2 linked regions of the Lepisosteus oculatus genome follow. Each later gene encodes a partner of the first gene's protein in a complex. Links are inferred from orthologs where the notes say so. Each region holds a gene or a part of one and is shown in the gene's direction. Other genes may lie near its edges.

Region 1 (10,714 bases):
TTGACACATGATATAGCAGCTAATTGGGGAAAAAAATGCAAACTGAAAATTATTTTTAATTTTAGTCAGAATATTTTCTCCACTCTACCAATGGTTTACTTAAAGGAACCTGCTAGTTTTAAATCATGTTATGGTGGTTTCCTTGCACAGTATTTGTTCCATGCTGTATTTCCTTGCACAGTATTTGTTCCATACAGGCCAGAATATGGATGATAATTTTCATAGTTATTTCTTATTTCAGTACAGAATTCACTCTTCCCCCCCTAATTCCAGACAAAATCATTCTAAATATAATTTTATGTAAAGAAAGAAATAACTTCACTCATTTCATCCATAGTCATGTTGACTCTTTGTTAGTTCTGCACTTTATGATTTTTGGAATTTGAGGAAGAGAGTTCATATAAAGTTCATTTAGTTTCTTGCCAGCCTGTGTGTAATGTACAGTATAGTGGGAACCCCTCAATGGCCAATTGTAATAAAAGCCGCCTATAATACAATATGGTATGGGTTTTAGAAAGATACCTCATTCTTGTCCACCTTTTATAGGCTAGGGATCAATGAGACATTGTTTGGACATTGGGCAACAATGGGTCACTTAAAAATGTTCCACAGCAGAAGTCGTGTTTTTATTGTATTTTTTCTAATATGTCAGAAATGAATTAACCCCTACTTGTTCTAGTAAGATAGAATTATGCTTCACTGAATTTCATTGAAATAATGAAAGCAAAACAGAAGTAAGTTAAAGGATATCCTTTGAATTGCATAACATCAAGTTAGCTCCAAGGGAATGTATCTGATGAGATCTGAAATATACACTCCTGTCTCACTATACACAACTGACCTACTGTATATGACAAACCTGTACAGGGTGTCCACTGTTTAAATGGTGGGGGAACAAAAAACACTATTGGACTTGTAACGTTTAGGGGAAATATGGGGTCGCTTTCTATAACCTTTTATTTAATTTGTCTAGGACATTAAAAAAATGCTGCAATAAGGTGACCTGATAATCTCTTATGTATAAACGTGCAGCAGTTGCGAACTAGTGCGGAAAGACATTCAGTTCCGGTTTGTTAAACAAAATGGCAGTGTTGTAACATTCCCCTAAGTTCAGATAATGTAGAAAAGTGCTGTTTGTCAGCCAGAAGTCTTTGCTCGTGTACTCTTGTGAGAGAGATCGCATCCCATTTTTAGAAGTTCCCAGGAAGTTCCCAGGAAATCGCTACTGTACTTTCTCTTAAATGTTAAAAGATCCCATGAAAAGAGGACGATTATTGATTGTGGCTTGCAGCATAAAAATATTTAAATGTTCGATGTCTCCTTTGTTTTTCCCTTGAATGTTTCTTGAATTAAATGGTTGAAGAACCATGAGCATTTAAACCATAAATTGCTGCTGTGCCAGTGTAGGCTGACAGAGGGAGCAGAAAAGACATCTCAGATGCCAAAGCACTCTCCTGACATGCTCCTGGAGACTAACATACCTGCTGGTTTATCATTGTTGATTAGCTTTTTATTTAAATTAAACATTAAGTGAACTGACCAGTTATTTGATTTGAACTTTGGAGGTTTTATATTTTTTGGAACTGAAAACAATTAAAGAGTTCAAATTTGACAATTCAATTATTGGAATACTCAAGTGGGGAGAAAAAACAGCAGGTGTGTGAAGGCTGGGAACCCCTGTCCTACAGCCAGAACAGGAACTGACAGGAATTTCCTTTTTGTGTTACATATTGGCTGTGACACCCTTGATGCCTTGTCAAGCGACCACAGAGGTACCCGGGAGCTGTAGTTTCTTCTGTGCTCTCTGTGACAACAAGTGTTGTTGTTTGAGATTTGCAGCTCTCTTCCTTCACCGTGCTACTGTGTGTTGCACAAATATGTATAAAACATTTTCCAATTCCCTAGTTAAAGGAAAATGGATCTATATGTGATACAAAAAGCATTTATTGTAGTGAAAAGTGATTATAAATGTAATTTTAATTCATTTTTACCACTCGTTCCCTGCCTTTATCTGTCTTGTGTTTATCAAGAACACCCCCACTTTCTGCAGTAAACGAAACTGTGCTGAACTGTACTTTTTCGACTTGGCACTTCCTAGCTTGTGAAAATGTAAAACAAGTCGGGACCAGAAATGTGCATTTGAGAAGTCTGTGTCTGAGACAGCTTGCTTTGGAAAAAAAGAGAAACTTTGAAAGCTTCCATTCGGTTGACCAAATGGTTAAGTGGAATAAATTAAGTGCTTTGTGTGTCTTGCATTAACATACTGTATGTTTTGTCTTCAGGATATCTTGGACAACATGTTACCTGGACATGTTTTTATATTTAAACTTTTTAAAGCCAGAACCAGAAATGAGCTGTTGTTGTCTTTGCATCCTGGAACTCCCAGTTTCTGTACAGTTTTACATGTTTTAACAATGATGTCTGTAGAAGTTTCCCCAAAATAAACATTATGTACAGTACATACCTCAGTTCAGAGCTTTATTGAATTACTGACTCCAGACAAAATGCATGTCCTCAGTGTACTGTGTACTGTAGCAAGTGCTTTTTATTAGGTTACAGATATTTTTTGGGGGGTGGGGGTTAATTTATTTATTTTCCCTTGTCACATTTTTCCATCCCACACATCATCGGCAGCACTGCCCTGCCCAGCAGATGCAGTGTGAAACAGTCTTGCAGGAATGGGGTTGTGGTACAAAGTAGAAGGTACCCTGAAATGTGGATTGATAAAATGACACAGTAAACCAATACTGAAAACAGTTCCCCAAGAAAGACAGAAAGTTTTCAAAAAGAGAAGGTCATTCAGCCCATCTAGCTTTTGTTAGTAGTTAAGTGATCCAAGTATTTTGTTCACCATTTATGTGAACATTTATGTGTCCCTACTGATTTCAGGGCAATATCTTTTATATGACACTGACCAAATTGCATGGCCTACATGAGGCCTTACTAGTGTAGTGTGCTCTCACGAGGCACCAGTTCTGTAGGGGTTTGGGCATTTACTGGGACAATTATTAATTGTGGCAGTAAGTCACAAAATGATTATTTTAATGGCCTTAGAATCCAACCATGCGGTGTAACTCAAACAACGCGCACACACACAGGTACTAATACACGAGGATACATTTATTAATACATAGATTATGCATTTAAACCTAACAGATCTTATCGTGAGGGTCATCAGAATACAAAGATATATGTATATATTCATTCAGTTACAAAGAGTTACACATACCAAGAGGACATACGTTCGGTATATCATTCATTTAGACCGTTTCGTAAATAAACTTGGTTACAACTTCTACATTAGATACTCGAAACAAGTACATAACTCCTAGGAATTAAATTTATATCAACTGGTTGGGATAACAATTGAATTCTCGAGCTGTAATGCAGTGAAGTTGAATACTCATCCAATCTCTGGGGATTCAGATCTCCTGCAGGCACAAAGAAACAGTTGCAGGCTTGTTACTGTCCAATCCGCGATCTCTGGCTCCATGCCAGGTTATGCTGTGTGGCTTGAGAGAAGTTCCTGCGATGTGCTGCTCTCTGAAGACTCGCTAGTTAGTGTTAGCTTTAACAGGCAAAGTTGTGCACAGGAGAAAAGTTACTGTGGGTCCCAGCGGGTCAGGAAGAGGACCGGTTCGTTCGTGATGAAGCACTAGTTCTGAATACTGATTCAGCTGTCCACAGTTCCGACCTGTTCACGAGGCTTGCTGCTGGTGGTAACCTCGGGTGGATCCTTTGGTTACTCGTGGCAACCTCCGCTCTCGACTCTTAGAACAAAGGAAAGTTCTGGCACTCAGACACACTGGCCGTTCTGTGGTGGTCCAGGCTGAGTCTAAGGATGTTCAGGAGGCGCACTGTGAGAATGTCCTGCCCTTGGGAGCCTTTCTGCTCCTGGGCCGTCCTGCCCTGGAATTGTTCTTCCCCCTGGAATTCTTCTTTTTGGAATTCTCCTTCAGGCTCTCTGTGTTGCCTGTTTTTACCTGGAGGAACTTCAGGTTCTTCATTGGCTGAAAGTTTCATGGGCATCAGAGACCCACGTGGGTTACTCGGCCCTACCAGTTCCTGATTGGTTGATCAAGGTGAGATATGAGTCACTTACTCCTGACACTTAGGAATGCAATCCAGATGTCCATCTGGCACTCCCTAGACAGATAGGCGCCAATGGATGACCATTGATCATGATAGCCAGGCTTAGCTAAGTGCATCCCCATTTGGGAGCTGTCCCTTATCAAAAGAAACCTTAAATCAGCCTGCATGAATAGCTTCTCTGTGGCTGCACCACAGAGATGAAGAGAGAGATGGGGCCTCACTGGCAAGGGAGCAGAAAACTTAATTCCTGTATTTTAATAAGCCTCGTCGCTACACTAGCATACCCCAATCAGATTTTAATGTAAAATCCCTTTATTCATTTTCAAAGCTTTTAACTGTATATACTACACGTTTGCTTGCTTTCCTATGTTGTCTGGAAGATGTATTGTAAATAATGTATCAACATGAACACTTAAGACTTTTTCCATAAATACCCTCTTCTAGCTTCCCAAAATGTTTCCCATTTTGCATTTATAGTTTATTTTTACTGCTCGCATGCAGAAACCTGCACTGCGTTACACATGCCAGGTGTTATCAAAATATTTTTGAATTTAATTGACTGTTTCTGCAGTGGTTGCTAAATCTAATTTTTAATCATCTGCAAATTTGACAATTAATTATAGACCATTGATAAAAACCAAGAAGGACAGGGGTTTTAGTTCAAATCTGTGTGATAGTCCTCAAATTACATCACCCCAAATTTGAGTATTCAACCCTTATCTGTATCTTTCTTTTTATTATATCTGTACCCATTACTGTTCAACAATTCTTTGTTCTGAAGAGCACACTCTGTTGATAACCAAACTTTGTGAGGTTTTTTAGAGGCCACGGCACCTCATATGCACATCTGAATGTCATATCCCCTTTAACATAGGTCATTATCCTGGAGGTCCACATACATTTTTCAGCATTGACTGAATGCTTACATAAAGATTTCAATAAAGACATGGAAAAAGTACAATTGTTTGTGTGTAATTTAATCAGAATGTGTTTATTTAGTATGACTAGATGAAGTTCAGATCACACTTTAGGAGCAATTAATGCAGGAATATAGATAATTCCAAAGGGTCTGCTCATAGAATGTAGATGGGCTTGGAGGACAGACAGGAGACCAGAATTAGATGAATGATTCTCCATCATTTTCAGTTTGCCAAGTTTCTGTGATTCCATCCATCCATTTTCTAACCATTTCTTTCAGTTCAGGGTCACAGGGGAGCAAGAGCCTATTGCAGCAAGCAACAGGCACATGGTAGGATATGCTCCGAAAGGGAGACCCGTACATGCCAGTCCATACCACAGGAAGACACAAACACAGACACACACTCGCACCGAAGTCCAATTTTCCCAGTCAATTAACCTACAAGTATGTCTTTAGAATGTGGTAGAAAATCCACACAACCATGGGGAGAACATACAAACTCCATGTAGTAAGCACCACAGGTCCGGCATTGAAGCCAGAGCCCCCGCTCTGTGAGACAGCAATGCTAACCACTGTGCCTCCATGCCACCCTTCTCTGATTCTAATAACATCATAATTTCTTGCTAATGTAGTAGCTTCTATCTCATCTCATTGGTTTTTGATAGTCCGAGCATTAAGGCATAAGCACTTAATTGCCTGATTATTTTCTCTGTTTTTCCTTTTGGTTCTCTCTAGGTCTTTGCTCCCTAAGTAACGTCATGTTTTCTTTGGTTTCTCTCCTCTTTTATTCTAGTTTAAATGTTTCAGAATTTCTTCGTGGATTCTTTTACCAAGACGACTGATGCCCAGCTCTGTGCAGATGTCCTTTACCATGGAAAGATTTCCAGTGCCCCCAGAATCGTCTTCTGTACTCCTTGTACTCATCCTTGTGTTGATTTTAAAGGACTAACGCTTGTACATGTTCATCTTTGCCCAATGCTGGTAGAATTACTGATTTTGTCCTATTCTTCAGTTTCTTGTCATGTTGTTGGAATTTGCTATGTATAGGAATCCCATCTGAATTCTATGCTGTAATTATTTACTTGCTTTCACTGTTGCAATCGTTAGAAATTAGTGTATTTCTTATGTCCTCACGTTTTATTACTGTATAGCTGCAGAGCTCCAACTCAGCACCAGCTCCACATATTGTAAAACGTACAATCTCTTTATGTAACCTTTTCTCCTTTGAAAATTGTGTTCATACTTTTTTCAAAGAGGTTTTAATTATCACTCTGTTCTTTGCGAATCACATTTTAGGGATTATCCAAAATGTTGACCGGCGCTTATACTCCATACTTTGCGGTGCAACAGTACATCATGACGTAGACGGGCACATGCGTATTTGAATGAGTGTGTAAGCAACATGGCGGGGACCAGTTCTGTGGCCGGTGAAGTTTTTGTGGACGCTTTACCTTATTTTGACCAGGGTTACGATGCTCCTGGTGTCCGGGAGGCGGTAAGAACTGTGTGCTTGAATTGTAATTTCAAAGACTTGGTTCTAGCAGCTGCTGGAGCAGTTGAGGAAAGCCGATCAGTCATTCGTGGTTAGAGGCAGGCACGCATTGTCTCCAGTGCCATCTCCAAGAATGGTTTGAGCTTATGCTATAAGTTATAGATGGTTAGCAAGTGCTCGTCCAGAACATACAGAAACCTGCCACTCCCTCCCTTAAGTTGTTTTTTTCCATGCATTCAAGCTCTATTTTCTTTATATTGTTGTTATATTTGTATAGGGCGACATTTGTTTTACGACACAACAATACAACAGAAACAGAACAACAAGTAATACAGGACAAGTGTTTCAAGATTAAAGAGTTATTTGACATTAGAACAAGCAAAGCTTTATTCCATGCTAGGAAATAGAAGAATAGAAACAACGTTTCTATTGTCTGGGAGTGCATAGGGGGTCTATTGCAGAGGCATCTCCAAGATGGAGGAGTGTGAATGCCGTTTCATCAAGTGAGACAGGATATAAAAATACTTTAAAAAGTGTCCATAGGCTATTGACAGTAGTGTCACACACTCCATGATGCTCTTAACTTTCTTTACAACCCTCTCTTTATTTCTCTTTGTTTATTATTATCTTTTGAGAGAAATGTGTTCAGTATAGCAATAAAATAAGGAAGATAAAAATTACCAGCAGAGGAAATGGTACAGGAGATAAGAATTACTTTGGAATTGCTTTCCAAATTGTTTTCAAGAGAGTTTGCAGTGAGTATAAAAGATAAATTCTATTACTTTTACACCTGGGGGCACACTCTGGGAGTTGGAGGCATTTAGGTTGATCTGATTTTCCTCAATTATGTTGCCGTTTATCTTTACTGATTTCCCCTACCTGTTACAATTTGCGGTATCGATGTTGCCGAGCCAACAAGTGAGACTAGTATGTAAAAACGCTTTCGATCAAGTTTCCATGGGCTGTTCTCGGTGGTGTCGCATGGCTTTTGAACCATGACAGGGCGGGCTAGGGCATAAAAAAGTAGCACAAAGGTAAAGTGAAGAGGAATGTGCTCCACTCCATTGGTTGTGTGTAGTTGTATAATATTAGTGATACGGGCTGTTAACTTGCTGCTTGAAGAAATACTGAGTTCCAGTGCAGAAACGCATGATGTGAAATGAGAAAACATGATGAAGTGCCGCTGCCTGGAGGACAGTGTGCTTATGATTGTGTTCTGTCGTGCCATGCTTGGGGTTACCTGATAAAGAGAGTGTTCTGTATTCCATGGTCCTGGAGTAGTGCCGAGTCATTCTGCGTCGTCCTGGTGACAAGGTTGGGTATAAGGAAAGTGGCGTGACTGTTCTGAATGATCTTGTCTTCTCAGGCCGCTGCTTTGGTGGAAGAGGAAACCCGCAGGTACAGACCCACTAAAAATTACCTGAGTTATCTTCCCACACCAGACTTCGCTGCATTTGAGGTGAGTGTACGACCCCCGTTGAGGCTGGAGCACTGCAGGCCCACACCAGCATGCTGTTGTTGCTGACTCCAGACTAACTGAAATGTGACTGCTGGGGGCTCAGTGGAAAAGGGGAAGACTGTTCTACATGGTCCCTTGGTGGAGCACCTCCATTAGCTATTCTCTTCCCTGCCAAGGTTGCATCTCTTTGCCTTGTAGTAAGAAAAACAAATTCTTGGGTTATCTTTGCCTGAAGGTTGTAAGGTCTAATGAGATCTATCCCATTTGTTATAAAATGGGATGAAAGTTTTGTGAGAGTCGCAAGAATTTTATATTGGGAAGGCTTTTGTTGGCTACATCTCTTGCAACTTTCATCCCTGTCATCGAGTGTGCATTAGATGACAATTAAAGCTCTCACTTTGTTACATTATTTAAACTCTTTGCCCTTTATTTGTTTTCTCTCTGGTATATTCTGAAATAAGTTTTCTGGCTGTTTTGATGCAAGAGGCACCATGAAACAGAAGTGATAAAGAATAGCCTGGCCTGGTTAAGAATACTGCAGTGCCATGGTCATGTTGGTGCAGAGAATTATTGTCTAATTCTCTTCTCTCAACAGACCGAAATAATGCGCAACGAGTTTGAGAGGTTAGCAGCCCGACAGCCTATGGAGCTCCTCAGCATGAAGAGGTACTGTTTCATTTGGACACCTATGCTTTAGATTTTTTTTCCCTGTGGTCATCCTGCAGAAAACGTTTTGGTTATACATTGAAAACTTGCTCTTTAATTTTTTTTTTTATAAGAATTTATGCTTTTTCAATTGAAACTTCAGGCTCCCTGTATATGGTCTGGTAAGGAGAAGAGCATCAATTCAGAATGTGTTTGTATACAGTACTGGCTTCCCCACATCCTCTCCATGTCCTTGGTACATGTCAGCAGTAAGGATAGGTGTGCACTGGCAGGCCACTCTTCTACAGTTTTTATTGGTTTCTTTAAATCAGTAGCGAATGACTTGATATCACTGTTTATATTCCTTGCTTCATTAACAAAATAGTTTGCTGTTAAGCAATATTCGCAAGGTATCAAACTCCTCAAATGAGTTTCGTTTGAGGTTTCACAATTATTTTTATTTTCTTTTTCACTTGTTGTTTTTCAGCCTCTGTAAGCCGTTTATATTTCTAATACTTCATTTCTGTTACCTTGCTTGTGGGTTTGTTGGGAATGTCTAATCAGGCCAAGGGTTTGAGTGCAGTTGTGCTGAAGCCATGACCCTGTTTGATCTGGACAGGTACGAGCTGCCCGCTCCCTCTTCGGGTCAGAAGAATGACATCACAGCCTGGCAGGATTGCGTCAATAACTCAATGGCCCAGCTGGAGCACCAAGCAGTGCGGATCGAGAACCTGGAGCTCATGTCCCAGTATGGCAGCAATGCCTGGAAGGTCTACAATGAGTGAGTGATGATGCGAAACAAGGGCTGTAAAACCTTCTATTTTGTATATTAAATCCAAGAGGGCGGTAGAGAGCGTAACAGGCTGGGGACTGACTATCACGCCTGAGCAGGAGAGAGAGGAGTGTAGAGTTTATCACATCCTCCTCACTTATTTTCTCTTTCACATCCTCTCTTTCAATCCTCGCTTCCTTTTCCAGCACTAACGAGACAAACTTTACATTTCATTCTTCTCATTCTGCAACATACCAGTGATGTGACCTTTTTGATCACTTGTATGTGTTTTTTCTTACAGAGACCTGCTGCACATGATTGAAATGTCTCAGAAGGAGCTGCAGAGATTGAGGTGAGGCCCTTATTTTATTGTCTCTCCTTATCCTGTTGCACCTGTGACGTCTCCTTCAGTGGTAGTATAAAAAAAGTGTTATACTGGTTGGGTTATTTAACATTGTTACCCATGGCAACACTGAATAACGGAATGAAATGCAAAACATTGTACTTAAATCGTATGGTTTGGGAAAAAAACTGAAGAATGAGTCAAAACAGCTTGTTCATGTGTCCAAATGATACATTTTGAACAAATCTTACCATGTCAGTATGGAAAAAATAGATAGCAGCATGAAATACTATAAATTCATTCTCACAACTCACAGATTTTCTTGTAACCATCCTGATGAGCAGTTGTATCTAAAAGCATGTTTGTGCTGCTTTCATATGAAGTCATTTTTATTACAGAGCTCACTTTTGGATATTTCTCAAGGAATTGTAACAGACAGATTGTTACCCATCCCTTTTCAACTGCTTTTCAGGTCTTCATAAGGCACTTGGATTTGATCCAATGTTCTGTCTTCTGTAGTTACTGTTCTGTAATCAAAGCAACAGATCATCCAGTATAGCCATTTTCATCTGTGACTGCAGAAAATGCTTGTTGAGCTTCCTGTTTTGGCTGAAACATTTTCAGGTTTTAAACAGCTCAGCCTTTGAGGACCACCAGGAGTCCTCCAGTCCCCAATGTGGGAAGGAAGGAGGTTCACAGCAGAGCAGGACAGCACTTCTTCACTCCCTGGGCTTGTGAAGGGGAACTGAGCCGAAACACAACTTGGCTTAGTCTGGATTTGAATCAAAACATTTCTGGTGGTTGAATGTAGAGTGATTTCTACATTGTGTTTTAAGAAATCTGGTGCTTGTCTAAGTCAAAGTGTAAAAGCCTAACTTTGTTGCTCTTACGTGCCATCCCATCAAAAAGGGAACATCGTTCAGCAGTGTTGATTTGTGTTGAATGTAATTTTGCATTTTTCCTCCCCATCTCAGGAAGCAGATTCAGGATCT
Region 2 (10,404 bases), on another chromosome or scaffold:
TGTCCTTGACCTTCTGAGTCCGGGGCTCAGAGTGCCTGGTCCCATTATGCTTTTAGGTCTCTATGTTCCCAGTCTTGGTTCCCCTTCCCAGGGATTTTAAGTGTCTTCAACTTGGATGGATCTCCCGGTCCTTGGATTACGGACGGCGCCCTGATAACCCCTTTTTGGACCTGTCTGGACTTGGTCTCCTCCGCCCTGTCTGTAAACCCGTCCTAACCCTGCTGTATCTTTCCCTGATGTCCTTCTCCAGACCCTTCTGGATTATACCGTCCTGCATAGGGACTCCATGGGAGTCTGACCCGGGCCCCTTGACAATGTCATGTCATTTACCAAACCGCTTTATTCCACAGGGTGGTGTGGGAAGCCGGAGCCTTACCCTCTAAGCAATGAGCGCAAGGCAGGGTACACCCTGGATGGGACGCCAGCCCATCACAGGGCAAGAGCAAGCCAATCATACATGGGGACAATTTGGAGGCCACGGTAAAAGGAGGGGGGGGGGAATTTGGCCCGGACACCAGGATAGCTCCCTACTCTTACTACTCTACCCTATGCCAACAGCTACATCACCCTGCAACTCACAACTGGCGACCCAGCAGGTGTAAGCCTGGTCAGTACCTGGATGGAAGACCTCCTGGGAAAGGTTGCTGCTGGAAGAGGTGTTATTGGGGCCAGCAGGGGGCGCTCACACTACGGTCTGTGTGGGCCCTAATGCCCCAGTTTAGTGACGAGGACACTATACTGTAAACAGGCGCTGTCCTTCGGATGAGACGTAAAACCAAGATCCTGAGGTCTGTGGTCATTAAAAATCCCAGGGCATTTCTTGAAAAGAGTAGGGGTGTAACCCCGGTGTCCTGGCCAAATTTTCCATTGGCCCTTACCAGTCATGGCCTCCTATAATCCCCATCTATGAATTGGCTTCATTACTCTGCTCTTCTCCCCACTGATAGCTGATGTGTGGTGAGTGTACTGGTGCAATATGGCTTACAGTGCCTTGCGAAAGTATTCGGCCCCCTTGAACTTTTCAACCTTTTGCCACATTTCAGGCTTCAAACATAAAGATATACATTTTTTATTTTATGTGAAGAATCACCAACAAGTGGGACACAATTGTGAAGTGGAACGAAATCTATTGGATTTTTGAAACTTTAACTAATAAAAAAAATGAAAAGTGGGGCGTGCAAAATTATTCAGCCCCCTTGCGTTAATACTTTGTAGAGCCACCTTTTGCTGCGATTACAGCTGCAAGTCGCTTGGGGTATGTCTCTATCAGTTTTGCACGTCGAGAGACTGAAATTCTTGCCCATTCTTCCTTGCAAAACAGCTCGAGCTCAGTGAGGTTGGATGGAGAGCGTTTGTGAACAGCAGTTTTCAGCTCTTTCCACAGATTCTCGATTGGATTCATGTCTGGACTTTGACTTGGCCATTCAAACACCTGGAAACGTTTATTTGTGAACCATTCCTTTGTAGATTTTGCTGTATGTTTGGGATCATTGTCTTGTTGGAAGATAAATCTCCGTCCCAGTTTCAGGTCTTTTGCAGACTCCAACAGGTTTTCATCCAGAATGGTCCTGTATTTGGCTGCATCCATCTTCCCCTCAATTTTAACCATCTTCCCTGTCCCTGCTGAAGAAAAGCAGGCCCAAACCATGATGCTGCCACCACCATGTTTGACAGTGGGGATGGTGTGTTGAGGGTGATGAGCTGTGTTGCTTTTACGCCAAACATATCGTTTTGCATTGTGGCCAAAAAGTTCGATTTTGGTTTCATCTGACCAGAGCACCTTCTTCCACATGTTTGGGGTGTCTCCCAGGTGGCTTGTGGCAAACTTTAGACGAGACTTTTTAATGGATATCTTTGAGAAATGGCTTTCTTCTTGCCACTCTTCCATAAAGGCCAGATTTGTGCAGTGTAAGACTGATTGTTGTCCTATGGACAGACTCTCCCACCTCAGCTGTAGTTCTCTGCAGTTCATCCAGAGTGATCATGGGCCTCTTGGCTGCATCTCTGATCAGTCTTCTCCTTGTCTGAGCTGAAAGTTTAGAGGGACGGCCAGGTCTTGGTAGATTTGCAGTGGTCTGATACTCCTTCCATTTCAAGATGATCGCTTGCACAGTGCTCCTTGGGATGTTTGAAGCTTGGGAAATCTTTTTGTATCCAAATCCGGCTTTAAACTTCTCCACAACAGTATTACGGACCTGCCTGGTGTGTTCCTTGGTCTTCATGATGCTCTCTGCGCTTTCAACAGAACCTTGAGACTATCACAGAGCAGGTGCATTTATACAGAGACTTGATTACACACAGGTGGATTCTATTTATCACCATCAGTCATTTAGGACAACATTGGATCATTCAGAGATCCTCGCTGAACTTCTGGAGTGAGTTTGCTGCACTGAAAGTAAAGGGGCCGAATAATTTTGCACGCCCCACTTTTCATTTTTTTATTAGTTAAAAAAGTTTCAAAAATCCAATAGATTTCGTTCCACTTCACAATTGTGTCCCACTTGTTGGTGATTCTTCACATAAAATAAAAAATGTATATCTTTATGTTTGAAGCCTGAAATGTGGCAAAAGGTTGAAAAGTTCAAGGGGGCCGAATACTTTCGCAAGGCACTGTATATATCCAGGTGGGGCTGCACATTGGTCGTGGTAGAGGGGAGTCTCCATAATCTGTAAAGGGCTTTGAGTGGTGTGTCCAGAAAAGTGGTTTATAAGTGTAAGCAATTATTATTATTACTTTTATGGATAAATGGCCAGGGGATCTTTAAAATTTCAGTTATGCCAAAAGAATTTACAATAGTATTTGATGCTAGCCTTAGGGGGATCATTACTCTCTTTAGGGGCTACTGCAGAACCTATAATTACTAAACCAATAAATTAACACCTAGCGTTTTGTTGGGTAGTGTTAACATTTTAGAAAAGAAATGTAACAATAATTATATAAGGAACACATGTTTACCAATTACATTCCACCTGCAAAGACTAATTGGATCTCAAATTATAATATAAAATAGCAGAAAGTATGTATTGTCTTACCAATGAAATTAAAGAAGTGTCATCTAAAATTATTCTTAGAATTTATCCTGTTGAACAAATATTATCCAATATTTAAACTCAAATTAGATTATCAATATTTATTTTTTAACATGAATAAAGAAACAAAGAAAATCTTACACTCTGCTTTATTTTACCCTCACACATATGGATCAAAATTGTATATTAATAAGAAAGCTAATGCTGATTATGGGGGGATACAATAGCCATAAAATGCAATTGACAAAGTCTTTTCCAAATTTTAATCTGTTTAAAATAGAAATGGAATTTTACATTAAAACCATTCAGAACATTTAAAATAAGTAAGTTAACCAAAGTTATGTGAAATTAGTTTTAGAAAGTAATTGGTTATCCCTGTCAATTCGTATCATGTATGCATGCTTTATTTAATTTAATGTTTCTTATTGTTGTATGTTTTTTGTTACTCATAAATAAAGCATTTAAAAAGCATAGGGTACTTTGCCTAGATAGCATGATTGCTATCTAGTTCTCTGAGTGCTGGTTACAAAACATGTCAGTGTGATAGTTTTCTGTAGATCACTTCTGCTCTTTCATGTTAAAAATGTGTCTGTCTGTCATCAATTTACACTGAGCCCTCATTATCATTTCAGTTTTGATTGTGACATAGAGCAATTGTCACTAACATTTTATCAAAGCCTTTACTTAATTTTAAATATCTGAGTCCAATCCACCATACTATCTTCTTTATTCAAGACTTGTGGTCTCCCTTCTTTAAACGTTTTCCAGGGAGCAGGCATTTTCATATAATATGATGACCAAAAATGTAATATTAGTTTTGGTTGAGTGGGAGATTAGTCATTAGCTTCACTGATACCCTTGGATATATTGTAAACCAGAATTTATGAGAATGTATGAGTTTTAGTGGGGTGCAATCACACATTATTTGTAATAATACACCTATTGAAATCCAATATCAATATACACTGTCCTTGACAATATGCGACAACAATATTTCAGAAAGGGGCATCTGAAAGGAAGCTGATGGAGGAGTTTTTTCATACACATTATGCATTTCTATAGATCTCAAAGTCATCATGTCAACAATGTGCCTGTGTTTTCGAAACGCCGAGCGAGACTATACATTTCATGGGTCCAGGATTGAGTGGTGAATGGAGAGCCCTTTTCAAAGAAAAACAAAAAGGAGAAAAAAACTAGAAACAATTTAATTGCGCGAGGTGATAAGCCAGTAGATTGCTATTGTAATTCACAGCATACTGCTGAGTGTCCTTGAATCTGTGTTCCCCAGAGGACGCGTCCTTCCTCTCGTGCTTTCTGTAAGGCCACGGTGTTGGCACAGTGTTCTTACACTGACAACAGGCAGGAGATACAAGAATCGAAAACAAAAAACTAGTTTGTTTCCATAGTGCACAGCCAGGCTCCTTGCATTTTAAGTCCTGTGAATATCTTCATTATATAAATGAGATGGAGGATTAAACTAAGTTTAGATATTGGTCTGAAGCACATACTGTATTACTGGGTTTCAGGAGTTTTATACAAGTGTTGTTAGTCACTGTGATATTTACAGTTCTCCATTCAAGTTCTATCTATTTTGTGTATTATTCACAAAATTGAAGGTTTTTATAAAAATACTTCGCATTCAAATGAGGGCATGAATTTGCTATGACCAGAAATATGTGCAGAAAGTGCACATTCCACAAACAGAGAATAAACTAGAGGACAAACCTATAGAATTTGCTTGCTATAGATCTGACACCCAGGCCAAAACATTTGTCCTAATAGCTTGTTCATTTTTACTGCATGAGTTACTGTATAAGGGTGCTGTGGTTTATTTTGGATGGGAGGACATCATGTCGGCTTCTTCTGTATCCACCCTTTCCAGAGATTGTGCTGATTTTGGAACCATCTTTAAAAGGTGCAGTACAAATGAGATTTAGGTAATGTGAGGCAGAGAGAAATAAGCAGGAGGATTGCGTGGTGTCTTTCAGAACCAGTTCAAACGGAAACAAAGTTAAAACAATCATCTATTTTTTTTTTACTTAAACCTCCTTCTGGATGGAGAACGATTAGACATGTTAGTAATGTTCTGTTACTAATGTTAGTAATGTTTTTCTCCATGAAATCCATGAAAGACAGGCAGAGTACCGATGCGTATACCCGACTGTTATACAAGATGATTATGAAGGGAAATGTTTCATTCGGAGTGAGAAATTGCATGATCACTTATAGAACCCCATTTGTAGCTGTAAAATATAAATTATTTTTCAGCATTAAAAGACAGCTTTACTTCCATTTTTATTATTGTATTTTGGAGCAGGACATATAATTTAATTGTCCGAAAGCAGGTTAAGCAAATTTAGGAAGAAATGTTAATGCCCTCACTTTTTATCAAGGCATTTTGTATGTTTTTAAAATGATCGTATCGCTACTCTAATAGGTTTAAATTGGGTATAAGATCGCACCAATTAAGAAAAAATGATAACGATGCCAATTTGCTGCGTACAAAAGGATTAGTGAATCTGGACCCTAATTTGCCTATAAATTGCTAATAGTGTAAGCATTTATTAAGTGAGCACAAGTACGAAAAACTACCGAAATTTTCTTCAAAAAATAAGAATCCAAAATTTCGCAAGAACGTTAGGAAATAAAAGGTTAAAAATCAACCTTTCACCGGTACAAGTAAAACTAATGTACAGTACATTTTGACTCACGGCACAAACGCTGTCTGTCGCACAACAAACGCATTTTGCGTCAGTGGGATAATTTGATTTACGGCAGCGTGGTACTTTTTAAAATTTCTTGGAGCATCGATGATTCAGTTCGCCGGTGGGATTTAAAACTTGTTTATTTAGAAGAACGTTGACTTATTCGTTGTTTTTTAAGTATTCACCATGGATGTAGGTGAACTTTTGAGTTATCAGGTAAATATATAATATATAACTTGTTTACGCGTGTTCGGAAATGAACTTACAGCGCTAGGCCGTGGTTTGTATCTGAGTAGAACCGTTTCTTGAGTGTAAATAAATACATTGTGGAAGAACAATTTGTGTGTATTTACGTATTTTGAGAAAAGTTCAATTTCCAGTGTGTTTAGAAAAAAAGTGCAGCGTCTTTGTTTTTAGATTAAGGTATTGTGATTGCTATATGTGGTGCTTAAACTAGTTCTGTTTTGTTTGCGTTTAAGTGCTTTGCTCCAGACACTGTCTAGCATATTTTCTCAATTAACTGTTTTTTTCCGTCTCTCTTCTCTTGAGCAAAGGAAAATATGTTGATGTGGCTGAACGGTAGCACAGAGAGAGTGTTACCTGATTTCTCTTTTACTGACACTGGGTGTACGTGGTCTTGACCGTCCCCGGTAGTTACTTCTGGTAGTATACATACATTATAAGAATTGTCAGAGATGATCAATTATAATCAGTCGAAGTCTTTGAAATCTCATTTCAGTTATTGAGGAGCCTTCAGGAGTGAGGGAGAGTAAAAGTGTAAGGATATAAAGTAAAGAAGAGTTGCTTTGTGCTTCAATGGTATGATTTGTCCACAACCATCGAACACCCAAGACCAAATAAAACAGGGTCTTCAGGACATAAATTGGACATACCAATTACTTTGACAATTAAGACAGATTTAAAATAATTATTATTAATAATAACGTGGTAAGAGAATATTTCAAAGATAAACAAAATCACTGAAGCATCCCCAACATGAATGACATATCTGTTAAATGTGATTAATAACAGCTTGGAGATTATAAATAAAGAAATATTGTAAAATGCCATCTGCCTTGAAAAAAAGGAACCTGAATGGCCAACTTGAAAGGATGAGTTCATCCAAGCAAAAACAAAACCCAAACGCTTTTTTGGTCTGTTGTTAGTAGTAAAAGAAATGTTTAACATAACATCACTTTATTAGTCCTATACAATTTCTTGCATTAGGAATTTGTCTTTTCACATACCCCAGCTCTCCATGAGATACAGACACAGACAGGGAGAGAGAAGCTTGGGGTCAGAGCCCCTGCAGTAATTTGGGTTAAGGGCCTTGCTCAGAAGGTTTTGCAGTTATGATCATTATCACAAAACACAATATACACATTCATAACTTTATAATATAAATTGGAAGTATTAGAAATTGAAGTATTAGTAAAAAATCATAATGGAATGAATCCAGATCGTGTAAACCCAAGGGTTCTTAGAAATCAATGATATCATTCACAAAGATGATCAGGAGATAATAAGAAGCGCTGTGTAAAATCAGATGAAGGCAGATGTCTCATCAGATAATAAAATAAAGAATTAAATTCATTATTAGTCAGCATAGAGTGTTGTGTATACGTAAGAAGAGTATATGACTTCATTCTACCATGAGAGGTGCAGAATTAGAAAAACACCTCATAAATTTGTAAAATTATTGTGTCTAATCTTTTCACATAAGCTCTTAACAAAAGGCAAACAGAATGCTTGGCTACCTAGCAAGTCAAAAGCAGTTATGTAGAAACTCTGCAATGCATTAGTGAGGTCCCCATTGTTTTACTGCATACAGTCCTGTTCACCACTTTAGGAAGGAGATCAGGAAGCATTAGAGAAGGTCTAATAAAGAGCCGAAAGACCCATTATAGTGCATAGATGTGTTATGAGGATAAGCTGAATTCCAATAGTTATTTTAAGATTTATGTTGGAGACATATTTGGCTTGTAACCTATTTCCAGTTCTGCACCAAAAAGAAAATAAGCTTGTTTTGCATATCAGTGCAGGAATCGGTGCATTACAGGAACACATAATGGTGGCAGAGAGTCTGGAACTTTCGATAAATGTGAAGTAGTAGATCACATTAATAGATATTGAACATATTTGTAAAATGTGTGTAATGAAGAATAAATGAGAAAACAACCCCTCCCAGTGTCAGACAGACCAAATTTGATGGCAGCCACCTTAGCTGTATTTTAACAGTTTCATGGGTAGTGTGAAGAGTTGCTTTACAATTAGGATTTTAAATATAGGGTCTTCATGATGCATTTTAAATTGCCCATTTTTTTAAAAACGTGAGTCAATTTCTGAAAGAGAAGAAGGAGGAGACTTGATCACCTGAGGATGAGGGTTACAAAAGTGATCATGACAAAATCGTGGGTTTCAGATAAAAGCTAGCCAGGCGACTTTACCCCAGAGGAACCCCCGAGAGTCCCAGATGGACAGCAGCTTTTCATGTGTCATGTCATGTCATTTGGGACATGTTTTCCTTTCATGCAAGAGACTGGAGGTGTTCACACAGTTACATCACCAGTGGCTGATGGCTGCTGTTCCTCCTGTAACTCCACTCCTATATATTACTTGTTACAGCAGTGGCACTGTCAGTGTAAACAGCAGCATGTCTCCCTTTCAGTGATTCAGCTTTCACAACATCATCCAGCAATTTCAGCATTTCCTCAGCAGTCTGTTCTGGTAACATCTGACAGTCTTGGAGGATTTTCTTTTTTACCCCCCAGTCAAATATAAGCTAGTCATTTCACTGCATCACCACCATCCGTTGCCTCATCAGACTGAAGTATAAACTGTTCACGTTTGTCTTTTAGTGAGCTGGCATTCTGCATCATTTGACAGCTCCTCAGACAGTTTGCTTACCTACTGTCGTTAGAAAGTGCTATAGCCTCAGTTTACTTTGCTTACCACTACTTCACACATTTTCACAGCAGCTGGAAGAGTATTTTTCTCCAATGGTGTGGGATTTTTTTTTTAACTTTTAGCAGCCCAGAGAACTTGCTTTCATAGATGCTTTCAGAGCGTTTTCTGGAATTGTGGTCTTTGTTTTTTCTCGTTGACTACGTTCTGGATTGATGTCCTGTGCATGGGAAGACTCTATGCTCTGTGCTTATGCATTAGTTTGGGGATGTTTTAAAAACCTGTTCGTTTTGTATGCCATTGACTCACTTTCTGTAAAAAAATTCTTCAGTATTCCCCTGCCAAAATCCGAGTTCAGTGCTCGTTTCGTGCCACAAAGCAGTAAGATTTTATTATGTTGATGGTTGGGGACTACGGACCATCTACACCACCATGTAAACAGAAATAGCAGCTTAGTCACTTTTGTTAGGCCACTCTGACAAGGTGGGATTCTTTATACTTTGTCTTTATTTTGTAGACCCCACTTGAAGCCTTGTAGCCTCAAGGATGTTTGGCATCCACGGACTATGGTTTGAGATACACTGGTCTAGAGACAAATACTTGAAATTAAAAGTAATCGAAATAGAAGGTAAGATGAAGAGAGTTACAGTCATCTTAGCATGTGCTGAAAAATATTAGTAAGATATGATATTCTGAATACTTGATAAAGTGACACCAAACATGAATCTCATTGCTAAAGCCGAGGAATGAGTGGAAATTAGATTAGATTCAGAATATATAGTATGAATCTATTTACAAAGAGCTGTGGCTGCTGGAATTTGCTGTTGTATTGTGTGCATGTTGCCTCATTAGAATTTGTCAATAAAATACTTGATAAGGCTTTGGGATCATTTGGGCTATAGATAGACTGAACAAAAAGAAAGATTAGGTTTTCTGTGTAATCTCTATATGCGTTCACCAAAGTATTTTAACTGATTGTTGCACAATAGTGGTTTTCTTTCTGTAGACTTTCATTTCAGGTTCCTAATTGCTAATGGACTGTTTTATCAAGTTAGCATTGATAGTTCTAAACTATACTTGTTTAAGGCCTTAAAATAAAAGATCTTGGAAGCTTATGAACAGGGGTCGAAGGATCGATTAGCTATAGATCGGAATCGGCAGATTTCCATTCTAAATATGTGACCGGCGTGTGCCTTGGAATGAAAACATATCATCCGTCTGGCAGTTTTCATTCCAGGTCAAGCCAATATGTTTGTAAAACTAACCTTTCTCGTGGCAGGGGCAACACAAAGAATTTTAATACAACTAACCTGACACAACACTTGAGAGCACATCACCTGCCCAAGTACAGTGAGTATCAGAAACTAGCATAGCTAGCAAAAACGGATAAAGCTACACCGACGTTAAGACAACCGTCAGTGCAGGCGACACTTGAGAGATAACAGCAAAAGTATAACAGCAATGGCCCGAAAGCAAAAGGAATCACGACCAAAATAATGGAATTTATTGCGCTAGATAACCAGCCATTTTCGGTTATTGAAGATGTAGGATTCTACTGCTTGATATCTCACCTAGAGCCATACTATCTAGGTTGGAAATACTTTTCAGATTATGGCCTTTTGCCTTAATTGGATAAAAGAACTGTTAGACTGCAGCTTGTTACTTCATGTGGGTGGTTGTAACAATCATTGTCTTACTTGTTAGTAAAACAATGTAAGTTTCTACCATCTTTTGTGTCTTTGGCTGGATAGTAACACACCAACCA

Evidence for each region. The genes of interacting proteins can lie anywhere in the genome.
Region 2: bcas2 (region 1) and ctnnbl1 share a complex: the UniProt entries of both Homo sapiens proteins name them as parts of the PRP19-CDC5L splicing complex. The link is inferred for Lepisosteus oculatus from reciprocal best matches to the Homo sapiens genes BCAS2 and CTNNBL1.

Annotation. Positions count from the first base shown.
Region 1 is NC_090700.1:32,450,408-32,461,121, forward strand, and holds the start of bcas2 (pre-mRNA-splicing factor SPF27), read left to right. Parts: upstream 1-6,392; 5' UTR 6,393-6,413; coding exon 6,414-6,506; intron 6,507-7,869; coding exon 7,870-7,962; intron 7,963-8,557; coding exon 8,558-8,628; intron 8,629-9,226; coding exon 9,227-9,388; intron 9,389-9,680; coding exon 9,681-9,731; intron 9,732-10,696; coding exon 10,697-10,714. UniProt on the Homo sapiens protein: Required for pre-mRNA splicing as component of the activated spliceosome. Component of the PRP19-CDC5L complex that forms an integral part of the spliceosome and is required for activating pre-mRNA splicing.
Region 2 is NC_090711.1:14,929,337-14,939,740, reverse strand, and holds the start of ctnnbl1 (beta-catenin-like protein 1), read left to right. Parts: upstream 1-5,774; 5' UTR 5,775-5,921; coding exon 5,922-5,951; intron 5,952-10,404. UniProt on the Homo sapiens protein: Component of the PRP19-CDC5L complex that forms an integral part of the spliceosome and is required for activating pre-mRNA splicing.